3 linked regions of the Arabidopsis thaliana genome follow. The protein of the gene in region 2 interacts with the protein of the main gene of each other region in a pairwise test. Each region holds a gene or a part of one and is shown on either strand. Other genes may lie near its edges.

Region 1 (6,961 bases), on a different chromosome or scaffold from region 2:
TTCTAGAAATTTTTCCAAAAAGATATATACTAGTCAAAAATGGTTCAATGAAATTTTAGAAAAATACACTTATACAGTTATAAGAAATTAATTTTAATTTTCTTAATAAGCTAAAGTCTAAAATCTTAGAAAAAAAAAAATCTTAGTTTCATATCTTACAGAATTGAGATACAAAGTATAAACCAAAACTTAAATATCAAAGATATAAAAGAAAATTTACCAAAAAAATATTCAAAAAATAATCCAATCAAATATAACAAAAGACAATAGTTATAAGATTTTTTTTCTGTCAACTATAAGAAATTGATCAAATTATATCTATATTTTATTTTATTTTTTCTTAAACTAAATCACAAAAAACTGAAAGAAAAAGAAAAACAAAACCTTACTAAAATGAGTAAAAATTGATTGCAAGTTGCAATGAAGGTGGTGATTTGTTTATATTTCCGTACTTCGCATTAACAATAGCTTACTGGAGAAGATGCTTGTTGATGTGTAGGTGGAAAATTCTGTTAACTAGTCACAATACTGATAAAAGTATATTTTCTTCACTAAATCAGAAATATACATTTAATTAAAAAGTTGGAAAAAGAGATTAATAAATCAAAATGAAAAGAAAAAAATAAAGCTTACAGTATGAAAGTTGGGGGGACTCTCTGATTTTTTTAAATTTTTTTGCATAATTTCACTGACCATTTTATAGAAAATAAAAAAGAGAAAATTCTCCATTCTGTAAAAGTCTTTACTTTTAGTAAAAAGAAAACTAACGATTATAGCCGTTTAACCAAAAACTAAAAAAAAATGGATGAAATTTCATTTTGAAGCCATTGAAACTATTTCTACAAAACTATTTATCTTAAGATACTCAATTAACACAAAAAGAAGAAAAATCAGAAAACAAATGATAATTATGGATAATTACTATTCAAATGAGTGTTTTTATTATACCTATCATCGGAAATTCTAGGAAGAGTTCTAGTTCCAGGAGCAGTAGGAGCTCTAACATGACCCACCATTGACACCTGAAGAGCTTCTTCTTCATAAGCTCTTCTCTCCATTTCTTCTCTCATTGCTTTCTTCTTCCCCTTCACCAACATCGCCACCACTAACATTCCCAGCAGAATTGCTCCAATCCCTGACCCTATCACACTCCCCACCGCCACTTTCCAACGGCTCAACTTTCCTCCTCCGTTGCCACCATTCACCTCCGTCGATGATGCCACCACTCCACCACTACTACCACCACCTTCATGATCATCTTTTTGAGCTTCTGTCTTCATCACGAGAGCGTAATGCCCTTGTCTTGTACCTTTACACACATACGGCGAGACTTGCTCGCTAAACGTTGTGTTACTGTTGCTTGTAAAACACGCACACAAGACTGACGAGTTCTTCTTCGTAGGGTTAGGGCTAGTGTTATTAGTTGCCTTGTTGATCAAGAAATCGATTAAGATTGGGTTTTGATCGGTACCTACAACATTAACCTCGTAAGGGTTCCTGGCCACACCGTCAGGGTTAGCATTATAAGCCAACAAACCAAGAACCGGTGACACGAGCTTGTAATTGTAACCGGATAAGTTATAACCAGTAGAGTAGATTGAAGACCAATTCGAACCAAAGTTTTGTCTAATTAGCATGACTCTCTCCGGACATGGCTCCACCGTAAGGCCTGAACCGATGTGAAACTCTCCAATTTTTGCGCCATATCTTCTCAAACTCCCACACCTTAACTTGACCGTGTCAATATCGATACCAGAGAAATTAGAAGGGAGATAGATTTTCTGAGTGACGCCTGTGTTGAAATTGAGCTTAAAGTTTCTAATGGTGTAATCTCTGATCATGAGATCAAGAAGATGTGTAGATTGAATCAATTGAGACTTAGATTGGTGGAATGATAAGAGAAGTATCATGATGATGATACAAAAAGAGAATGAATCCATAAGAGGAACAAGAGAATCTAGGGTTTACAAGAGGAAGTGAAGATAAGAGGAAAGAAAGAAAGTTTTGATGGTGTTTTTACTTTTGTGGGGGATGTGTGTTTTGGGACACAAACATTATAAACACTTACACTTCATTTGTCAGATTTCTCTTTTACCTTTATAGAAGACATGATCTAATTGTTAAATAAGCATATGACCGTTCTAACGTAGAGGTTTTAAAATTTTTAAATCAACGTAAAAGCAATTAATAGGTTCAGTAGTGGAGGAGAAAATTGGATCAATGATGATAGAGGCATGGGAAGATGATGATCATGATTACACTTTCTGTGTTAATTAAAATTCATAAAAAAAAATTGTAATCAATTTTTAGACTAAAAAAGAGAGAGACATTGGCGTGCTAATGTTTGTGTGACTTTATCCTCTTTTGTGCAATGTTGTTACCTTTGTCTGTCCTTTCATTATATATGTTCTTGACTTTAGTTCTCTTCTCAATCAATCTCTTTATGTTCCACACCATTTCATAAAATTTACATCCAAATTAACACCATGCATTTCTCATAGTTTCTTGCCTCGGTAAGCAAATGTATATAATCGTGTATGCTTTTCGTTTTCTTGACTTAAAATCATTTTTTAAGGTCGTTTTAGATACAAATCATAATAGTATTAGAAATGTACCAAAGTTAATTTGAAATTGTAAAGTTATCGAAATAAACATTTTAAATTCGAATTTGGTCTTTCATGTATACAATTTGATTTAACTATAGTAATGATTATATTTTTATCTACAAAGGTAGATGAAGAAGTGCTCATATTATATATCTCTTATTGCTTACACACAATACTTACAAATCAGAAAACATGTGAAGGAGAGAGAGCTAACATGGAAGATCTTACATATACATTTAACTTCGAATCTATTTTGCTTCTGACAAAACCCATTCTTCTTTTCCCATCTTCATCTAGCTGGAAAAAGCAAATTTTACTATCTCTGACTTCCATGTGATCTAAAGAATTTACTATAAATGAGATGTGTACCTCACAGGGTTTAAGCTTGGCTTCCTTCTGGCAATGTGATCAACCTAGAACCCGAGTCATACACCATCGCGGTTCCGCAGCTAAAAACAGAGATAATCAAAGAATCAGATAGTAATATGTTACACTTTTGAAACCATATTCGAAGGTAAAATCTTACTTGGTGCATTTGACAGTGTTGGTTTTGCCGCCGCTGGAGATTGACAGAATTGTTCCAAAGAAGGAGGTGTTTTCCGTTCCACAATTCGGACAAGGACCCTGTGAAACAAGAAACATTCATAAAAAGGCTCTTTGATGTTTTTCTTTTGCAATCTTGAGTAATGGTAATGGTTCTTACCTTCAAGATCAAGAAGTCCTTGATGATCAATTTGGTGATTGATAAAGCCAGATATACAATCACAGGCACAGCAGCGAACCAAGTGAATATGAAACTGTATGGTTCTGGAAGCTCCATGATGTATGTGATCTCAAAACCTGTAATGTCGTCCAGGAAGAAAAAGCTGCAAGTACAGAATTGAATGAATAAACAAAGACGAAATATGGGTTTCATATGATTTGGATGTTTGAATAGAAAACTCGGTATAGAGACTCACAGTCCGAGAGCAACAACGGTTGCTGGAACATTCAACAATAACATTTTGAAATAATCTACAGCGAGATCACTATACACCTACATTTGAGGAAGTTCATAAAGACTGAAAATTAGTATCTATCTATAATCTAATATTAACAATGAATCTTATGTTCTATTTACCTTTTTACTACGGAGACTGCATCTTGGACCCTCGCTCACAATGTCGCTACCATCAATCTACATGGATACAGAAAGAATCATAAACTTGAAGCTTAAACCAATCTTATAAGGGTATGTCTATTTTCACTGAAGCATAAAAAGTGAATGGAAACCTTTAGTTTGAGTTTGAGCTTATCATATTCTTCATCATTCAAGATTGGATTTCCAGAAACATAAGCCATGGAAGCTTCCAAGAATCTTTGTTCATCGGAACCTGTGTTTCATATTACCAATAAAAGATTTAGGACTTTGCACCAAAGAAACCAAAACAAAGAAATGAAATTTAGTCCCATAGTTGATGATTACTTAGCATCACAACACTGCTTCCTTCCCACATTAACTCTTCTTTAAGGTTATCAAACTCTTCATTAGACATGATCGCTTTGCCATCATAATAGAAAGACTGTAATCAAAAGACAAAAGCAATTCTCAGGCTCTTGAAGATTAGATATATATCATGTTTTGGCAACTATAAAAAAAATGGTTTATTGTAGCGTTTACTTGCAACGCTTGGAGAAACTCTTGTTCCATTTCACCAATTGTTTTCTTCTCAGCCTTGTTGATGCTACAATAGGGCAAAACATTGCTATCGACGTTGTCTCCTCCTACTGGACCTTAAGGAAGACAAAAAGACTGTAATTGAGAACTTCATAGCAAATCTAAAGTTGATACCTTACTTATGCAACCTAATAGTTACACAACTTCTGACATTGCAAAACTTTAGTACAGAGTTAACCACTAAATAGTCAACAAAGTCCAATACAAACAAATATACTATACCAAAGTTATAGCCATTGAATCAATCAAACCCTTCAAAGAATTGAACTTTAACAGGATTCGAGTCTGGATACTACAAGTTAGTGACTTAAAAACATAAATTTTCAGAGCTAGAGACGTTGAATTAAAATAATATATCCTAAATTTCAAAAGGCTCAAACTTTGGAAACCCAATTGTGAACAAATTCGAATCCAAATGGCTTTGTAAACAGAAAACTAAGGCGGAGTGTTCGAAATCGAGACTAAAGTGGCCAAATCAAGACCTGATTGCTCTGTTGTGGCTTTAGCAGGCAACAAGAAGACTCTTCTTCTCAAAGAAATCGATTTTCCAGGGCTGAGCTGAGTCCATTGAGTCCTCGAAGACGGCGACGGAGGAGAAGGAGAGAAAGAAGAGGAAGGTTTGCGAGAAACGGCGGAGAAAAGTCGAGGACTTGTCAAACTAAACAACATCTTGCTACCCATTTTCCCTTAGAGATAGAAAAGGGAGCTCCTTTTTTTCCTCTGTTTTTTTCAGTAAGTATGAACCTGTGGTTGAAGATGTGTTTACTGTGAGCTTCTCAGGTTTCTTCTGATTTTTTTTTTTTTTTTTTTTTTTGGTTTTATTATAAATTTGGAGGGAAGAAATTAGGAGATAAGAGAAGTGTGGAGATAAATTCCTAGGCAGATTTCTCTTATTTTTTCCTTCCTCTCATCCTCATAATCAGAATATCCACGTCAGCATTAAATATCCGGTTTTCTTAAACAAAACAAAAACTTAAAATAGAGAAAAGACATAATTTTAGGCTTTGATTATACAATAAAAAAAATACTGTGAGATGAGTAAGAAGATTTTTTTTTCGAAACATGGTGATTTTTTAAAAAAATTTGACATGTAGTATGTGTAGTTGAATTCAGCTGATAATATACTTTAGTACAAACCATTAAAATAAAAATGAGTTCCAAATTTTAAAAAACAAACAAGATAAATAATTTAGTTTTCCAAAAGAATTATTGATCCACATACAATTGTCTATTTGAAATTGAAAACCAGTCAAATTGTTTTTTTAGTAATTGATTTCCAAACTACAAAAAGAAAATGTGGTTAGTAGAAGAACTAGTAGAGGTGAACACGTGGAGACACGCTTAAAGCACGCGACGAAGAACACGTTGATAGCGATTATGGGTTTAATTCTATTGGGCCTTTTCTGGGAGTCTAGACCCAAGCCCATATAGTAGTAATCTTTTTGACCAATCAGTCAACCCAACCATCCTCTCCCGTTGACCGTGAAGTGAGTCACGCACTTACCTCACAACAATAGCACTAACCACCGGTAGCTCTACAATGTCTCTTAGTTCGGTAACAAACTCTTCTAACTAAAAGTATAGTAAAAACTTTGCTATATAAGAAAGAGTCTTTGCACATTTCATTTACTTGCAACCAATTACAAAAAAGAGTGTAAGAAGAAAAACAAAACAAATCCATTTTTTTTATTACTCTGTTTTTTCCCCTGTTTTTAAGTTTATTTACTTCTTACTCTGTTTTCTGCTCTGTTTTAGCTTTAAACAGAAGACTAAAGAAGATGGTTGCGGTTGAAAGAGTTGAGAGTCTAGCAAAAAGCGGAATCATATCGATTCCAAAAGAATATATTCGTCCAAAAGAAGAGCTCGAGAGCATCAACGATGTTTTCCTAGAAGAGAAGAAAGAAGACGGTCCTCAAGTTCCCACAATCGATCTAAAGAACATCGAGTCAGACGATGAAAAGATCCGTGAGAATTGTATTGAGGAGCTGAAAAAGGCATCTTTGGATTGGGGAGTGATGCATTTGATCAACCATGGAATACCAGCTGATCTAATGGAGCGTGTCAAGAAAGCCGGAGAAGAGTTTTTCAGTTTGTCTGTGGAAGAGAAGGAGAAGTATGCAAACGATCAAGCCACTGGAAAGATTCAAGGCTATGGAAGTAAATTGGCTAACAACGCGAGTGGACAATTGGAATGGGAAGATTACTTCTTTCATCTTGCGTATCCTGAAGAGAAGAGAGATCTATCAATTTGGCCTAAGACACCAAGTGATTACATGTAAGCTTTGAATTGTTTTACTAAAGAAAACAAAATCTTGTTTTGGTTTTAGAATCTTTTATTAACGTTTTTCGATGATTGTAGAGAAGCAACGAGTGAGTACGCGAAGTGTCTTCGTTTGCTAGCGACTAAAGTCTTCAAGGCTCTCTCTGTCGGTCTAGGTTTAGAGCCTGACCGTCTAGAGAAAGAAGTTGGTGGTTTAGAAGAGCTTCTTCTACAAATGAAGATAAATTACTATCCAAAATGTCCTCAGCCTGAGCTAGCACTCGGTGTGGAAGCTCACACCGATGTAAGCGCTTTAACTTTCATTCTACACAACATGGTTCCGGGTTTGCAGCTTTTCTACGAGGGCAAATGGGTCAC
Region 2 (10,259 bases):
GTTTTGCTTTTGTTGAAAACCACATGATTGTGTGAGTTTCGTTATTAGAAATAGAATTGAGGGAAATAATTAGAGTTCTTTCATATTATATCTTCTTCTTTATTCATATGAAGTTTGGAGATTCATTTTTCTTTTCCATTTCGATCTTCATCCATTTCGATGTATGTGTTTGTTGAATTGTGTTCCACATGATCAAAAATCTTGGTTTGATTTTAAGTGATTCATTTACAGTTTTGAAGATCCCAATGAAAAATAAATATGAATCTCCAAATTTTCAGATAAATAAAAATTCAATAATTTTGGTGTATATTGTTTTATGGGTAATATTAGTAGATAACCAAATAAAACATACAAATTAAGAAACTAGCAGAGAGAAAGTTTTTTGTTACAAAATAACCATGGATCCCACGTTGTCGGAAGAAAGGAAATAACAAATCTACCCTTCATTTGTTGTAAGATGAACAGTAAACGAAATACATCCGTGTAATTTTTCAAAATAGCATGTAACATTAAAATTTCACATGTTATATTTAGTTTAAAAACATGCTATTTCAAAAAACGTTATGAATTTTTAAGAAAAAATATTCTTATGAAATTCTTTTACGTGAACAGAATCTTAAAAAAAAAAAATTATATGTGATTTTAATAAAAACCATGTATTACTAAAAAATAGGAATATATTTTTAAAGAAATCACGTGTGATCTTAATAAAAAACGTGTATTACTACAAAATATCATGATAAAAAGAGATATTAAACTGAATAGAATGTTTTTTCCAAAAAATACCAGGTGCTTTTTAATAAATACTATGTAATAAGAGAAAATAACAAGATAAAAAGAGGATATTATGTTATCGCATGTATTTCGGAAAAATAACATGTTACAAAGGACATTTACGTAATTACACGTGTTTTCCAACATGTTTCCGACAAGATACTGTGATTCAAGGTTAGTTTGTACATTCTTTTCAAATCTATAGTCATTTATTATAAATACTCTTGTTTTATTGTATGTTTTCTAATGTAGTTATTGGTTGTCATGTCATCACTACACAAAAAGATAATATTATGAGTGATTTTTAAGATTGTAGTGTTGACATTCATTTATTTGATATGAAGATTTTTTTTTACAAAAAAAGTTTACATAGAAATTTTTTACACTAAATCTTTATGTTTTTAATAGAGTTATCGTCTATATCAAACCTACATTTATTTGACATAATAGTTTATCTTATAAAAAATGACTTCATCTGTTCTTTTTTATTTGATTGGTTAGGAAAAACACACATATTAAGTTAAACATATTAAAATTGTTAAATGTATTATTTTTTGTATTTTACAATTTTTTATAACTTTAAATCAATAATATTCAATTATTTTTATCAAAGTTTATAATTAATTAATAATAACTAATAAATATTTCATAAAAAATCTAAAAATTAATCTTTTAAAAACTTATTTTTTTCAAAAAACAGAGAGTGTTAAATAGATAGATTTTTTTACACAAAACCCAAAAAAAAAAACTAAGACCTTGAATGTTTTTTAGATTTTGTAAGAGTTTTTGATTTTTGTTTTTTAAAAACTTATTTTAATACCAATCAAGATTTTAAAATTTTGGTTTCCCTACAATTTAGTAAAACTATTTTATTGTAGTTTTCCATTCATATTTAAGTTTTTTAGTTTTTCTAAAGTTTAGAAAATCTAGTTTTTACTCAATCAACGTTATTTTTTCAAAAACCAAAAACCAATTTTTTAGGGGTTTTTAAAACAAAAATATAATAACAAAAATCTAAAATCTATAGACTAAAATCTAAACTCAAAAACTGAATCGAAAATATCCATTCAGGCCTAATACATCCAATATTTCAATACTTCTTAACTCTTAACTCTTAAGTTTTAAGTAATTAAATATATAAAGATCTGTTGCCAAGCGTACCCTTTTTATAAACATTCCAAATAACTATCTCCATTCTTTGGAGTTACCCAATTTCGACGTTGAACACAAACCCTTGCTTCTCTCTTCTCTGTTTCTCTCTCGCAGCGAAAAATCATGGCGATTAGCTCCTTCAAGCATGAACATCCTCTTGGTTCGTTTTCGATTTAAACCTAATCGATCAATCTTGTTGATCTTTGTGTATCTCTCTCTCATCGTAGGGATTTTTTTAGCGACTAGGTTTAAAAATTCTCAAAATCTGGTTACGTCTATTTCAATTGCTTCTGAGTTTGCATGAATTGATCCTTGATTCTGATTTCCAACGATTTCAATTTTGATTGCGTTAACAGTTATAAGAATCCGCAAAATTATATGTTGAATGATTTTATCGCCGATTCTGTATTGTTTCGTGAAGTAGTATGCATAATCTTTGATTGAAACAAGTTTTGTGTTTATTGATGCAAATACATTATGATCTTTATTCAAGTGGAGATGAATATTGATGTTGAAGTTACTAAGTTTCACTTGTCTCTCTTGTGTTCCGTGGTCGAGTCTCTGTTGTTCACGGGGCGTAGAATCGCTATTTCAGTCCCTGTACATAATCTTTGATTGAAACATGTTCTGATTTGGTGCTGCTTTTGCTGAGGAAGCAAAATACATTATAGTCTCTGTTCAAGTGGAATCCTAAGATATTATCACTGAGTATGTGTTGTTCACGAGGCTTAGAATCACTATTTTAGTCCCTGGAGCCTGGAGTAGTAGTGTACATAATCTTTGATTGAAACATGTTTTGATTTTGTTCTACTTTTGCTGAGGAAGCAAAGTACATTATAGTCTCTGTTCAAGTGGAATCCTAAGATATTATCGCTGAGTCTGTGTTGTTTTACGTGGGTTAGAGGATGTTGATGTGTTGAAAATTGATGGATCTGTGTTTTTTTTGCTCTTGAATGTTACAGAAAAGAGACAAGCTGAAGCAGCACGTATCAGGGAGAAGTATCCAGACAGAATACCAGTATGAATTTTGGCTATTTTCATTTAAGAAAATTGCATAGCTTTTGCCTTATTCTCTCTGAAATTGTTGCAGGTCATTGTCGAAAGAGCCGAGAAGAGTGATGTCCCGGATATTGATAGGAAAAAGTAAGTCCTTACTTCTCTTGAGGAGTTGGATATAATCTCTTTCTTCTCACTGAAAGTGGCTTCAAGCCCTTTTCTGAGAACCCTACACTCCCTCACATTTAGTAATGAATTGGTTAATTGGATAGAAATAATTTTTTTTTATTGAAAGATCTGGAGGAATTTCTGGTTTTCATGGTTTGTTGCTTAGGGATAATGAATTGGCTGACTTACTATTCAAAACTTTAGGTACTTGGTCCCAGCTGATTTGACTGTTGGCCAGTTTGTTTATGTTGTACGGAAGCGGATCAAGCTCAGTCCCGAGAAAGCCATCTTCATTTTTGTCAAGAACATTCTACCACCAACTGGTTAGTTTCAAACACGTTCCTTAATCATATACTTTTCCAGTTCAAGGAATCATATCTTTTTCTCAGTTGAGCTAATAGTAGTAGTGTTATCCTTTTATTGCAGCGGCAATAATGTCTGCAATTTATGAAGAGCACAAAGACGAAGACGGGTTTCTATACATGAGTTACAGTGGTGAGAACACGTTCGGGATCTTCTTCTAATGCGCTTGGAATATGTGGATGCATCAGATTATCAATGTACAGTCTGTCTATTTCTCTGCTTGTCTCTAGTTTTCATGACATTGGACGAAGCTTTTGAAACTTGCATGCTATGTTATTAACATGATAAGGTCTTCCGTTCATGGTGTTAATTTGGCTTTATGCTACACTTAATTTCAAACTTAGTCGCTATATATAGTTGAGGTCACTTGGTGTCCTCCTTGAATATTGGCCCGGCCTATTTCACTAGTCGTTGAACCGTTACGATTTCTATCTTCTCAAAGTTAGCTCGACCGTCAAATCTCTAAGCTCTTGCAATCTCTGCTTCTAAGGAACACAAAACAGAGATAACTTTAGCTATAAATATTTAGATTTCAAAAGCAACTTGATTTAGGTAAATTTGTGCACACTCTAGAATAGATTATCATCTGTTACAGATTATTACTGTACAATCCAGCAAAAACTAGGCCTGGGATTTCGGATTAACCCAATGACCGAACTGAACAAACCGTTTTTTTGGTTCTGATAACCGACTATGAAGGGAAGGCTAAACCGATCGGCGAAATTATAATTGAAGTTCGGTTCTCGGTTCGGCAGACATAACCGATCAGTTTTCTCGGTTAATAGATACTATAAATATAAAGATAAAAACATTAGATCTAATCTTTTTAGCTTCTTCTCCGTTTCCTTTTGATCCTCATCCATGGCTATTTAGTCAATTCTCTCTATCTGCATGTGGTTTTCACTATGGTAGCACGTCGGGGCATATTTCGTTACGGAGATATCGTCATCCCTCGCTATCACCGTCACCGTCACAGACGTAGATCTGCTGATTATGAAGAGGGTAGCGGCACCAAGATACCATCAACCCTAATTTTTAATAGGTTTGGATTTTTAGTTATTTTGGGTTTAAGTTTGTTTTTCGTTTTGGCCCAATTATTGGTTTGTAATTATAAAATTTTGTTTATCTTCGCCCATTCTATAATTTTTGTTTTGACCCATTATCTTGATTTTGGACTTATTCGGTATAAACTAACCGAACTAAAAAAAAAATCGGTTTAGTTCAGAGTTGATTTTGAATCCTATAACCAAACCGACCCGAACCAAATCTTTATTCGGTTTAATTTGACAAAATTTTAAAGAACCGAAAAAACCGATTAAACCAAACCGAACCGATTACCCGAATAAACCGAATGCCCAGGCCAAAAACAACTGAAAATAAAAAATAAAAAATGAGATAGGAGAATATTTAATCCGACGGTGGAGAAATGTTGATATAATAAAACGTGATACAGAGGATCATAAACCCGCAACATGAGAAACGTAATAAGTTAAGTCAAAAAAACGAAAAAGCCAGAATCATATTTGTGGCTCTGGTTTCTCCATCCAAACAAAAACAACACCCAAACCTTGTCCACACCAAAATGTTAAACTCAAAATCCAACCACACACACACAATTTCTCTTCCTCTCTACCATTAACATCGATCAGAAAGACCGAGAGAGAGAGGGAGAAGCTGATTGATTATGGCTGCTGCTTCGATTTCTGCAATAGGATGTAATCAAACTTTGATAGGAACTTCCTTCTATGGAGGATGGGGAAGTTCCATCTCCGGAGAAGATTACCAAACCATGCTCTCCAAGACAGTTGCGCCACCGCAACAAGCCAGAGTCTCAAGGAAAGCAATCAGAGCAGTTCCAATGATGAAGAATGTCAATGAAGGCAAAGGCTTATTTGCACCTCTAGTTGTTGTCACACGCAACCTAGTAGGCAAGAAGAGGTTTAATCAGCTCAGAGGAAAAGCCATTGCCTTACACTCTCAGGTTTGCTTGTCTTATAATCATTCTCTTAAGAACTAGTCAAAGAAGCAAAGTTTTGTGGAACTGGGTTCTTTTGTTCTTTCAGGTGATCACTGAGTTTTGCAAATCGATTGGAGCAGATGCAAAACAGAGACAAGGGCTTATCAGGCTTGCTAAGAAGAATGGAGAGAGGCTTGGTTTCCTTGCTTAGGTCTTAAAAAGAACAAATCTTTCTCTCTGCTTGTGTCTGATATATACACTCACAACTCCTCTTGTTGTTCTTGTCTAGATGTATTTTGTCCAAACCTATAATCTTGATTTTTGTTACATTGCCTTTGAGGGTTACTCAAACACACATAACTGCTGCCATTCTCATCTGAAAAGTTGTTCAATAAGGTCTTAGCTGAACTAGTTTTCTCAGTCACATAGAGATACAAAATATGTAATATTGCCACTCTTTCAACAGATTAAAAAGCCTAATCATAACTCTCAAACAATTAAGGGATTGAAAAAGACTGTAAGTTTTGCTTTCTATTGAAGCATCCCTAAGATCGGAGAGGTATTGAGAGCTGCAGTTTTTTAACACCGTGAGCTTACACTGATTACTTCAAGACCCAAGTAAGATTGCATAATATGTCAATAAAGTTGTCATCGTGGAAACTTGATATATATGGAACTTTACCTAGACATTCTTTAACACAAACTCTGTTTCTGCTAGCTAAGCATTCGTTCCCAAAGGTTTCCAGGAGGTTGACTTGTTGCCAGTTGCCTTAACCTTGATTAGGTTGAAAATTTGGGTACGAGTAATGTTACAGAACCACACGTGGGAGGTCACACGTGCGAAATCAAATGGAAGAAGGAATTAATAAGAGGCTGACGCGTGTCGACTGAGGAGTGGCAGACTCAAACATGCCGTTAGGCCCTTCTATATGAGCAATATTCAGCTCATCTTTCTCTTTTATCAATTAATCTGTAAAATCTAGAATCTCTGAGAACTTTTCTAAGCTAGATATCTCACATCGAGACTAGCAGATCCTTGGGTGTTTTATGAACATCGATTGCTCATTGTAATCAGGGATTTATTCTTAATCGGAATTGATTTTACAGTGAACCGGAAAGTTATTTGTATCAAAGGTATCAAAGCTCTGTCTTTCCTTGGAGTCATGGTTCATACACGTTTTCATGATGAGTCGAAGGAGAAGGGAAAAGAGGTGGAAGGTTTGGATCCGATGGAGGAGAGGATGGCGAGGCTGGAGGCGATGATGGAAGCTCATAGCAAAGCGACGATGAAGAATCTGGCTGATATGATGACTGCGATGAGCAGATCTACAGCTCAGAAACAGCCGGATGAGCAGTCCAGTGGTGAGCGGAGTCTACCTCGATCATCAACTTCAACGGATGATAGAGTGGTTTTTCAGGATGTCCGATGAGAAAATCGACCAGAGCAGGATCAACGACGAGACAATCGTCACGAACAGGATCAGCGAAGGGAAAATCGTCATGATCAGGTTCGATTTGAAAACCCAAACAATTATGGTAACTTGACGCGTTTGGGTAAGATTGATTTGCCTCGTTTTGATGGATCTGGAATCAAAGAATGGTTGTTCAAGGTAGAGGAGTTCTTTGGTATTGATTATACCCATGCAGATCTGAAGGTGAAGATGGCTGCTATCCATTTCGATGGTCATGCTGCAACATGGCATCACTCTTTTATGCAGTCGGGTGTAGGTTTGGAGGTGTTGTATGATTGGCCTGGTTATGTTCAGTAGTTGAGAGAGCGGTTTGATGATGACTGTGATGATCCCATGGCTGAGTTGAAGAAGCTAAAGGAAACAGATGGCATTGTTGATTATCATAAGAAGTTTGAGTTGATTAAGATTCGGGTTAACCTTTCTGAAGAATATTTGGTGAGTGTTTATTTGGCAGGTTTGCGAATGGACACTCAGATGCATGTCAGGATGTTTCAACCACAAACGGTGCGTCACTGTTTTCGTTTGGGAAGGCTGTATGAGAAGGCACATCCTAAGCGTCTTTCTTCAACACCTTGGCAACCTAAGACAAGTGGAGCAGCTGGTACTTTGAAGTCACCTAGAGAGGCTTCTAATACACCTGACAAATATTACAACAAGGAGAATCAATACACTAAACCTGAGTTTAAACCAAATAATGCTAGGAAGCTGTCTCAACAGGAAATGAGTGAGAGGAGAACGAAGGGCTTATGTTATTTCTGTGATGAGAAGTTCAGTCCTGAACATTATTTGGTGCACAAAAAGCAACAACTCTTTTGTATGGAAGTGGATGAAGAGTTTGAAGATGCGTTAGAGGAATTGACTGGTGAAGAAGAGAAGAATATGCCTCAGATTTCAGTGAATGCGGTTTCAGGTATCTCAGGATACAAGACTATGCGGGTAAAAGGAGCTTATGGGAAAAAGACCTTGTTTATATTGGTTGATTCAGGTTCTACTCATAACTTCATTGATTCGAAGGTGGCGGCTAAGTTGGGTTGTCAGATTCAGGATGCAGGGTTGGCTCGGGTCTCAGTGGCTGATGGTAGGAAGTTGAAAGTGGATGGGAAGATAGTGGATTTCTCTTGGAAGTTACAGACTACACAGTTTCACTCAGATATTTTGCTGATTCCATTACAAGGAGTGGATATGGTTTTGGGAGTTCAGTGGTTGGAAACTTTGGGAAGAATTTCTTGGGACTTTAAGCAGTTGGATATGAAGTTCAGATATGGTAATCAGAAAGTGTGGCTGCATGGTATTAAGGAAGGGTCTGTGAGAGAGGTCAAGGCACAAAAACTACATAAACTTCAAGAAGAAGAGGTTCAGTTGGCTATGTTATATGTAAGGAAGTGGTTGAATCTGAAGAAGATGATGATACAGAACATCAGGTTTTGGGTTCTATTAATGCCTTAACAAAAGATATGGGAGAGGAGTCATTTGTAGAGAAGGTTGTGACAGAATTTCCTGATATTTTTGTAGAGCCTACAGATTTACCTCCTTTTAGAGCACCACATGATCACAAGATAGAATTATTGGAGGACTCTAATCCGGTGAATCAAAGACCATACCGTTATGTTGTTCATCAGAAGAATGAAATCGATAAAATTGTGGACGATATGTTGGCGAGTGGGACGATACAAGCGAGTTCAAGTCCATATGCTTCTCCGGTGGTCTTGGTTAAGAAGAAGGATGGCACGTGGAGGCTTTGTGTAGATTACAGAGAGCTCAATGGAATGACTGTGAAGGACAGGTTTCCTATACCATTAATTGAGGATTTGATGGATGAATTAGGTGGCTCCAATGTGTATTCTAAGATTGACTTAAGAGCTGGCTACCACCAAGTTCGCATGGATCCTCTTGATATACACAAGACTGCTTTTAAAACGCATAATGGTCATTACGAGTATTTGGTAATGCCATTTGGCCTTACTAATGCCCCGGCTTCCTTTCAAAGTCTAATGAACTCCTTTTTCAAACCATTCTTAAGAAAGTTTGTTTTGGTGTTCTTTGACGATATCTTAATATACAGTACTTCAATGGAAGAACACAAGAAGCATTTGGAAGCTGTGTTTGAGGTTATGAGAGTGCATCACTTGTTTGCCAAGATGAGTAAATGCGCATTTGCAGTTCCAAGAGTGGAGTACTTAGGCCATTTCATAAGTGGGGAGGGAATTGCCACGGATCCTGCTAAGATCAAGGCAGTTCAGGATTGGCCGGTTCCTGTTAATCTCAAGCAGCTTTGTGGTTTTTTGGGATTGACTGGTTATTATAGGCGGTTTGTAAGGAACTATGGAACTATTGCAAGTCCTCTCCATGCGTTAACTAAAACAGATTCCTTCGTGTGGACTACTGAAGTTCAGCTTGCTTTTCAAAACCTTAAGGACACATGTGCAACACTCCGGTGTTAGCTCTACCTCAATTTGATAAGCAGTTCGTAGTAGAAATGGATGCGTGTGGTCATGGCATTGGTGCAGTGTTAATGCAAGAAGGACACCCATTGGCTTTCATCAGTAGGCAGTTGAAAGGGAAACAATTGCATCTGTCCATTTATGAAAAAGAGTTATTGGCAGTGATCTTTGTTGTGAGGAAGTGGAGGCATTACTTGATTTCTAGCCACTTTATCATTAAGACAGATCAAAGAAGCCTGAAGTATTTGCTGGAACAAAGGCTCAACACTCCCATCCAACAGCAATGGTTACCTAAACTGTTGGAATTTGATTATGAAATACAGTACAAGCAAGGCAAAGAGAATCTGGTGGCCGATGCTTTGTCACGTGTAGAGGGGTCTGAAGTTCTGCACATGGCTCTATCTGTGGTCGAGTGTGATTTACTAAAAGAGATTCAAGCTGGTTATGTGACAGATGGGGATATTCAAGGAATTATCACAATTCTACAACAGCAGGCTGACAGTAAGAAACACTATACTTGGAGTCAAGGAGTGTTAAGACGCAAGAATAAGATTGTGGTTCCAAATAACAGTGGAATTAAGGATACTATTTTGAGATGGTTGCATTGCTCTGGAATGGGTGGACACTCGGGTAAAGAAGTCACACATCAACGGGTGAAAGGGTTGTTTTACTGGAAAAGCATGGTGAAGGATATTCAGGCATTCATCAGAAGCTGTGGTACTTGTCAACAGTGTAAAAGTGATAATGCTGCCTCTCCTGGGTTGTTGCAACCTTTGCCAATTCCAGACCGCATTTGGAGTGATGTATCTATGGATTTCATAGATGGGTTACCTCTTTCGAATGGGAAAACAGTGATCATGGTGGTTGTGGATCGACTCAGTAAAGCTGCTCATTTCATCGCTCTTGCTCATCCTTACAGTGCTATGACTGTGGCTC
Region 3 (5,499 bases), on a different chromosome or scaffold from region 2:
AATAAATTGAATTAAAAAAGACCTAAAGTTAGAGATTTATCAATCGGTAATGTTGCTCCAATACCTAACCACAGGGCCGCCGCGGTGCCAATCAAAAAGACGGTTGTCGCTACTGGACGACGAAATGGATTTTGAAACTTATTAACATTTTCCAAAAAGGGTACGGTTAATAATCCCGCTGGTACTGAAACCATTAAAAGAACACCCAATAATTTGTTAGGCACTGTACGAAGTATTTGAAATACAGGAAAGAAATACCATTCAGGTAATATTTCCAAAGGAGTTGCAAAAGGATCCGCAGGTTCACCAATCATTGATGGTTCTAAAACCGCTAAGCCTACGTTACAGGCAATGGTACCAAGAATAACTACTGGAAAAATATATAAAAGGTCGTTGGGCCATGCGGGTTCCCCGTAATAATTGTGACCCATACCTTTAGCTAATTTAGCTCGTAATACAGGATCATTCAAATCTGGTTTTTTTGTTATTGGGATAGGTGAATTCTTATGGATCCATCCCCCGAGGGAACCGGACATGATAATTTTTTATCATCCGGCTCGAGCAAGAATTAACCAAACTAAATGAATACATACAAAAAATATAATTTAATATGTAAAAATTAATTATCCGATTCCAAAGTTATTGCAACTAAAGATTCAAGAAATTCCATTCTTACAGGTAAATGCTCAACACCCACGTAAGCTTAAAAAGTTTATCATGATTAAGTGCTTTCTGGGTCGTCTCATACCTTATAAATTCGTCCTTAATCTCAACAATTATATCGAGATTTTTCAAATACAAAGGATTTACTTGTTACTAATGGAGTCTACCCTCTACTCTTCATTAGATCCTGTATTCACTCCGATAGTATCATAAATCGAGTCGATGCAGAGAAAATGAATGCATTTACATACTATTACTATTAATAATTATTTTCTTTTTTTTTTTTAGTCCAAAATAACTAAAAACATAATCAGGATTTTGTTCCATCCCTTAATCTACTGGATTTTACGGAGCCCACTCATCCACGACAGCGTCGGGTACGATCATAGAAAAGATTCTCTTCAAGTGAACCAGCCTATCCCCTGTATGGGGCTTACACAGTGGTTGGAACAAAGACACATTTGGTTGTGAATTCCAATGTAGCAGATAAAGTAATATTTCTGCACGGCCCGATCAATAGTTCAAGTCACACACTCCCATAATCCATTATCTCTTCATAGAATTCCCTTCAACTTTTTATGTCAAAAAAATAATAAAATATTGTGGAGTTGAAGGGAAATATCCAAATACATGTTTTATTTTTTTAATAATCCATATTTATAGCAATAAAATACTATCGTTCCTTCACCAAGTAATAAGTAAGTACAAATACCTAGAATCTATATTATTTATAAGGGACCAGAAATACCTTGCTTACGTATCATTAGGAAATGCATTAACATAAAGACGGCCGTAAGAAGAGGTAATACAAAAGTGTGTAAACTATAAAAACGAGTCAAAGTGGATTGTCCAACACTAGCACTTCCGCGTAATAATTCTACAAGAGGTGATCCTATTACCGGAATAGCGTCAGGTACACCTGTTACAATTTTGACCGCCCAATAACCAATTTGATCCCAAGGTAAAGAATAACCTGTTACACCAAAAGATGCGGTCAATACACCCAGAACCACACCAGTAACCCAAGTTAATTCGCGAGGTTTTTTAAAACCACCGGTGAGGTATACACGAAATACGTGCAGGATCATCATTAGGACCATCATACTTGCCGACCATCGATGAACTGATCGGATTAACCAACCAAAGTTAGCTTCAGTCATTATATATTGAACAGAAGCAAAAGCTTCAGTAACGGTTGGACGGTAATAAAAAGTCATAGCAAATCCCGTAGCTACTTGTACTAAAAAACAAGTAAGGGTAATTCCGCCTAGACAATAAAATATGTTGACATGCGGAGGAACATATTTACTAGTTATATCATCTGCAATCGCCTGAATCTCAAGACGTTCTTCGAACCAATCATAAACTTTATTGAGATAGGTAAACCAAGGTTACTCCCCCTCCAAGAACTGTATATGAGAATTTCATCTCGTACAGCTCAAACAAAAAAAGACCCAAATACTGATTGAAACAGATATGGAATATAAAGTTTTAAACTTGTCTCTCATTCAATATTATTTTTTATTATTTAAAGATATGAAAGAGTCAAAATGCGAAAGCTCGTCTTTGTGGTTAAATGCCAAAAAATCAAGTAAGCTCATTCGTCTTTATGTTGTGTTGATCGTTACAGGCCTCTTGAATCTTCTAGATTACCTATCTTTATTGTCTTTTTTTATTTGGTATTTGTATGGAACGGGGACAGGGATTTCTTCTTGTTTTCTTTATTATTGATAGGAATTCTCTTGTTAAGACCCTACTTAACTAATCAATTGAAACCTCAGATTCATACGAGAACCACGATAATTTAATGAAACCTTCAAAGTCCAAAGTTCACTGAGTGAGAACCATTGGATCATCACTTATTCAATAAAAAAAAAGCTATAATGACTAAAAACATAAAATACAAAGAAGCGTTTGTCCTTTGATCCAAATAAGAGTTTAAAAGCAGAAAATTTTTTTGATTTATTAAAGTTTATAAGATAGAACGGAAAGAAGTCCGGCTACGAGGTTTGAGTATTTAAGTATGAATCATAGTTCGAATACTTTGTGATCTATTTGATCTATTTCGTGCTCCAGATACTCGAATGAATATCCGACGAAGTAAAACCATCTTGATAAAGATGACAGACCCCATTCTCTGTACTATCCATAGGGTCAATTCTAACAAGTCACACACTCATATTCCGGAAATATACAATGCAGAAAAAAATTTCGCGGTCGAACTACCAAAGGAGAATAGGCTAAAATTGTTAGACCTGCATACTTTACTTTTTTGTATCGAGCTAAAAGCTAGAACTTCAAGATTCTTCTCAGTCTAATTCACTGAAATTCCATCCAGTAGAACAGAAGAATTATAAATCTCCAAAATAATAGATAGGAATACCGCAAATAGAGCCATTGCAACACCCATCAAAGGGGTCGTTCCCCATCCGGGAGCTACTTTACCATATTCGGAATTCAATGGTTTCAATAACTTCCCTACAGTAGTGCTTCTTGGACCAGATCTAGAACTATCTTCAACAGTTTGTGTAGCCATAAATCTTATTTTGTATTCATTACGATCTGTTGACTTTGTATACCATTCCGTTGTAAATAAATGATCTTAGCATAGATCCGGTGTGGTCTTTCAATTCTATAATAATGGAAACAGCAACCCTAGTCGCCATCTTTATATCTGGGTTACTTGTAAGTTTTACTGGGTATGCTCTATATACTGCCTTTGGGCAACCCTCTCAACAACTAAGAGATCCATTCGAGGAACACGGGGACTAGTTAACGTAATCAGCCTCCAAATATTTGGAGGCTGATTACGTTAATGAAGATAATGAAAAATTATTTCATTTTTTAGTTGAAATTTTAGGTGGTTCCCGAAAAAAAATAGCGAAAAAAATTATCCCTAAAGTGGATACTAAGAGAAATGTATAAACCAATGCTTCCATAAATTTGATCGTGGTTTACAATTATAGCTTTCATACCTGTTTTGTTTACGTTTTGTTTACTTGGGAGGATAAAGAAAGAAAAAGAGTCAAAGAAACGGCAGCGATTTAAATAAAGATTCCTACAGTACCCTACCTATTAAATAAAATAACAAACAGAAACTAGAAGAAAAAAAGCAATGTTGCATCAGACTGCTTGTCGTTTTGTAGTTGGATCTCCAAGTTTTTGGAATGCCCCGAATTCCACTTGAGCATCCAAATCTGGATCAATACCAGCAAAAACATCTCTGAAGAGGGTTCTAGCACCATGCCAAATGTGTCCAAAGAAGAAAAGTAGAGCAAACGAAGCATGTCCAAACGTAAACCAACCTCTTGGGCTGCTACGAAAAACACCATCAGATTTCAAAGTCGCACGATCTAATTCAAAAATCTCACCCAATTGAGCCCGTCTAGCATATTTTTTCACAGTTGCGGGATCACTATAACTCACTCCATTGAGTTCACCACCATAAAACTCAACAGTTACACCTACTTGTTCGACACTATATTTTGATTCTGCCCTTCTAAACGGGACGTCAGCTCTAACAATTCCGTCTCCGTCTACCAAAACTACCGGAAAAGTTTCAAAAAAAGTAGGCATGCGGCGTACAAAAAGTTCACGCCCTTCTTTATTTCTAAAGACGGGGTGGCCTAACCATCCAACAGCTATTCCATCCCCATTGTCCATTGAACCCGCTCGGAATAACCCCCCTTTTGCTGGATTATTACCAATATAATCATAAAAAGCTAATTTTTCAGGAATTTTCGCCCAAGCTTCTGATAAACTTTGATTTTCAGCCAGTCCAGCACTAACTCTTCGATATATTTCTTGTTGAAAGTATCCCTGATCCCATTGATAACGAGTAGGACCAAATAATTCGATGGGAGTAGTTGCAGAACCATACCACATAGTTCCAGCAACAACAAAAGCTGCAAAAAAGACAGCAGCAATACTACTGGAAAGGACGGTTTCAATATTGCCCATACGTAATCCTTTGTATAGACGTTGAGGCGGACGAACACTAAGATGGAATAGGCCCGCTAATATACCCAACGTCCCTGCTGCAATATGATGAGAGGCTATTCCTCCCGGAACAAAAGGGTCAAAACCCTCCACGCCCCACGCCGGGTTTACGGGTTGTACCTTTCCGGTTAGTCCATAAGGGTCGGATACCCATATTCCAGGACCATATAATCCTGTTACATGAAATGCGCCAAAACCGAAGCAAGCCACTCCTGAAAGAAATAAATGAATTCCAAAAATCTTGGGCAAATCCAAAGAAGGTTTTCCTGTACGTTCATCACAAAAAATTTCTAGATCCCAATATACCCAATGCCAAATAGCTGCCAAGAAGCACAAACCAGAAAACACTATATGTGCTCCGGCTACCCCTTCGTAACTCCAAAGACCCGGATTCGTTATAGTCCCCCCTGTAATATTCCAACCGCCCCAAGAATTGGTTATTCCTAAACGAGTCATGAAAGGTATAACGAACATACCTTGTCTCCACATTGGATCAAGAACGGGGTCGGAGGGATCAAAAACTGCTAATTCATATAGAGCCATCGAACCAGCCCAACCAGCAACTAGAGCAGTATGCATTATATGAACAGCAAGTAAACGACCGGGATCATTCAATACAACAGTATGAACACGATACCAAGGCAAACCCATGGAAATACCCCTTTATCAACGAAAAATAGACACTATGTAACTTTATTGCATTGGAAAAAACTATGCTACGTACCCCCCCTTTTTAGGTAATTATTTCGGAGAAAGGATTAATATTTGTTCTATTCTGTTAGTAATAATGGAACAATTCAATTCATAGAAAAAAAGGGAAGCGGATCTATTCTATAT

The links.
Region 1: the proteins of PGR5 (region 2) and PGR5-LIKE A interact in a two-hybrid assay, tested with the Arabidopsis thaliana proteins (one study listed by BioGRID).
Region 3: the proteins of PGR5 (region 2) and petB interact in a protein complementation assay, tested with the Arabidopsis thaliana proteins (one study listed by BioGRID).

The regions. Positions count from the first base shown.
Region 1 is NC_003075.7:12,005,200-12,012,160, reverse strand, and holds PGR5-LIKE A (PGR5-LIKE A), read right to left. Parts: upstream 5,176-6,961; 5' UTR 5,005-5,175; coding exon 4,806-5,004; intron 4,380-4,805; coding exon 4,267-4,379; intron 4,169-4,266; coding exon 4,072-4,168; intron 3,980-4,071; coding exon 3,879-3,979; intron 3,784-3,878; coding exon 3,727-3,783; intron 3,643-3,726; coding exon 3,566-3,642; intron 3,473-3,565; coding exon 3,310-3,472; intron 3,231-3,309; coding exon 3,133-3,230; coding exon of another isoform or gene 3,129-3,132; exon of another isoform or gene 3,056-3,128; coding exon 2,986-3,055; 3' UTR 2,976-2,985; intron 2,904-2,975; 3' UTR 2,625-2,903; downstream 1-2,624. Other genes in the region: AT4G22900 (transmembrane protein, putative (DUF1191)), read right to left, coding at 909-1,940; LDOX (leucoanthocyanidin dioxygenase), read left to right, coding at 6,102-6,598, 6,683-6,961. UniProt on the Arabidopsis thaliana protein: Ferredoxin-plastoquinone reductase involved in cyclic electron flow (CEF) around photosystem I. The homodimer is probably not involved in CEF.
Region 2 is NC_003071.7:2,076,566-2,086,824, reverse strand, and holds PGR5 (proton gradient regulation 5), read left to right. Parts: upstream 1-4,965; 5' UTR 4,966-5,137; coding exon 5,138-5,434; intron 5,435-5,516; coding exon 5,517-5,621; 3' UTR 5,622-6,178; downstream 6,179-10,259. Other genes in the region: ATG8D (Ubiquitin-like superfamily protein), read left to right, coding at 2,050-2,086, 2,420-2,526, 2,610-2,634, 2,889-2,944, 3,017-3,069, 3,295-3,413, 3,517-3,614. UniProt on the Arabidopsis thaliana protein: Critical for growth under fluctuating-light conditions. Involved in the regulation of the cyclic electron flow (CEF) around Photosystem I. Essential for the reduction of PGRL1A by ferredoxin and for photoprotection.
Region 3 is NC_000932.1:72,185-77,683, reverse strand, and holds petB (cytochrome b6), read right to left. Parts: upstream 2,844-5,499; coding exon 2,838-2,843; intron 2,034-2,837; coding exon 1,392-2,033; downstream 1-1,391. Other genes in the region: petD (cytochrome b6/f complex subunit IV), read right to left, coding at 12-486, 1,196-1,203; psbH (photosystem II protein H), read right to left, coding at 2,978-3,199; psbN (photosystem II protein N), read left to right, coding at 3,304-3,435; psbT (photosystem II protein T), read right to left, coding at 3,501-3,602; psbB (photosystem II 47 kDa protein), read right to left, coding at 3,787-5,313. UniProt on the Arabidopsis thaliana protein: Component of the cytochrome b6-f complex, which mediates electron transfer between photosystem II (PSII) and photosystem I (PSI), cyclic electron flow around PSI, and state transitions.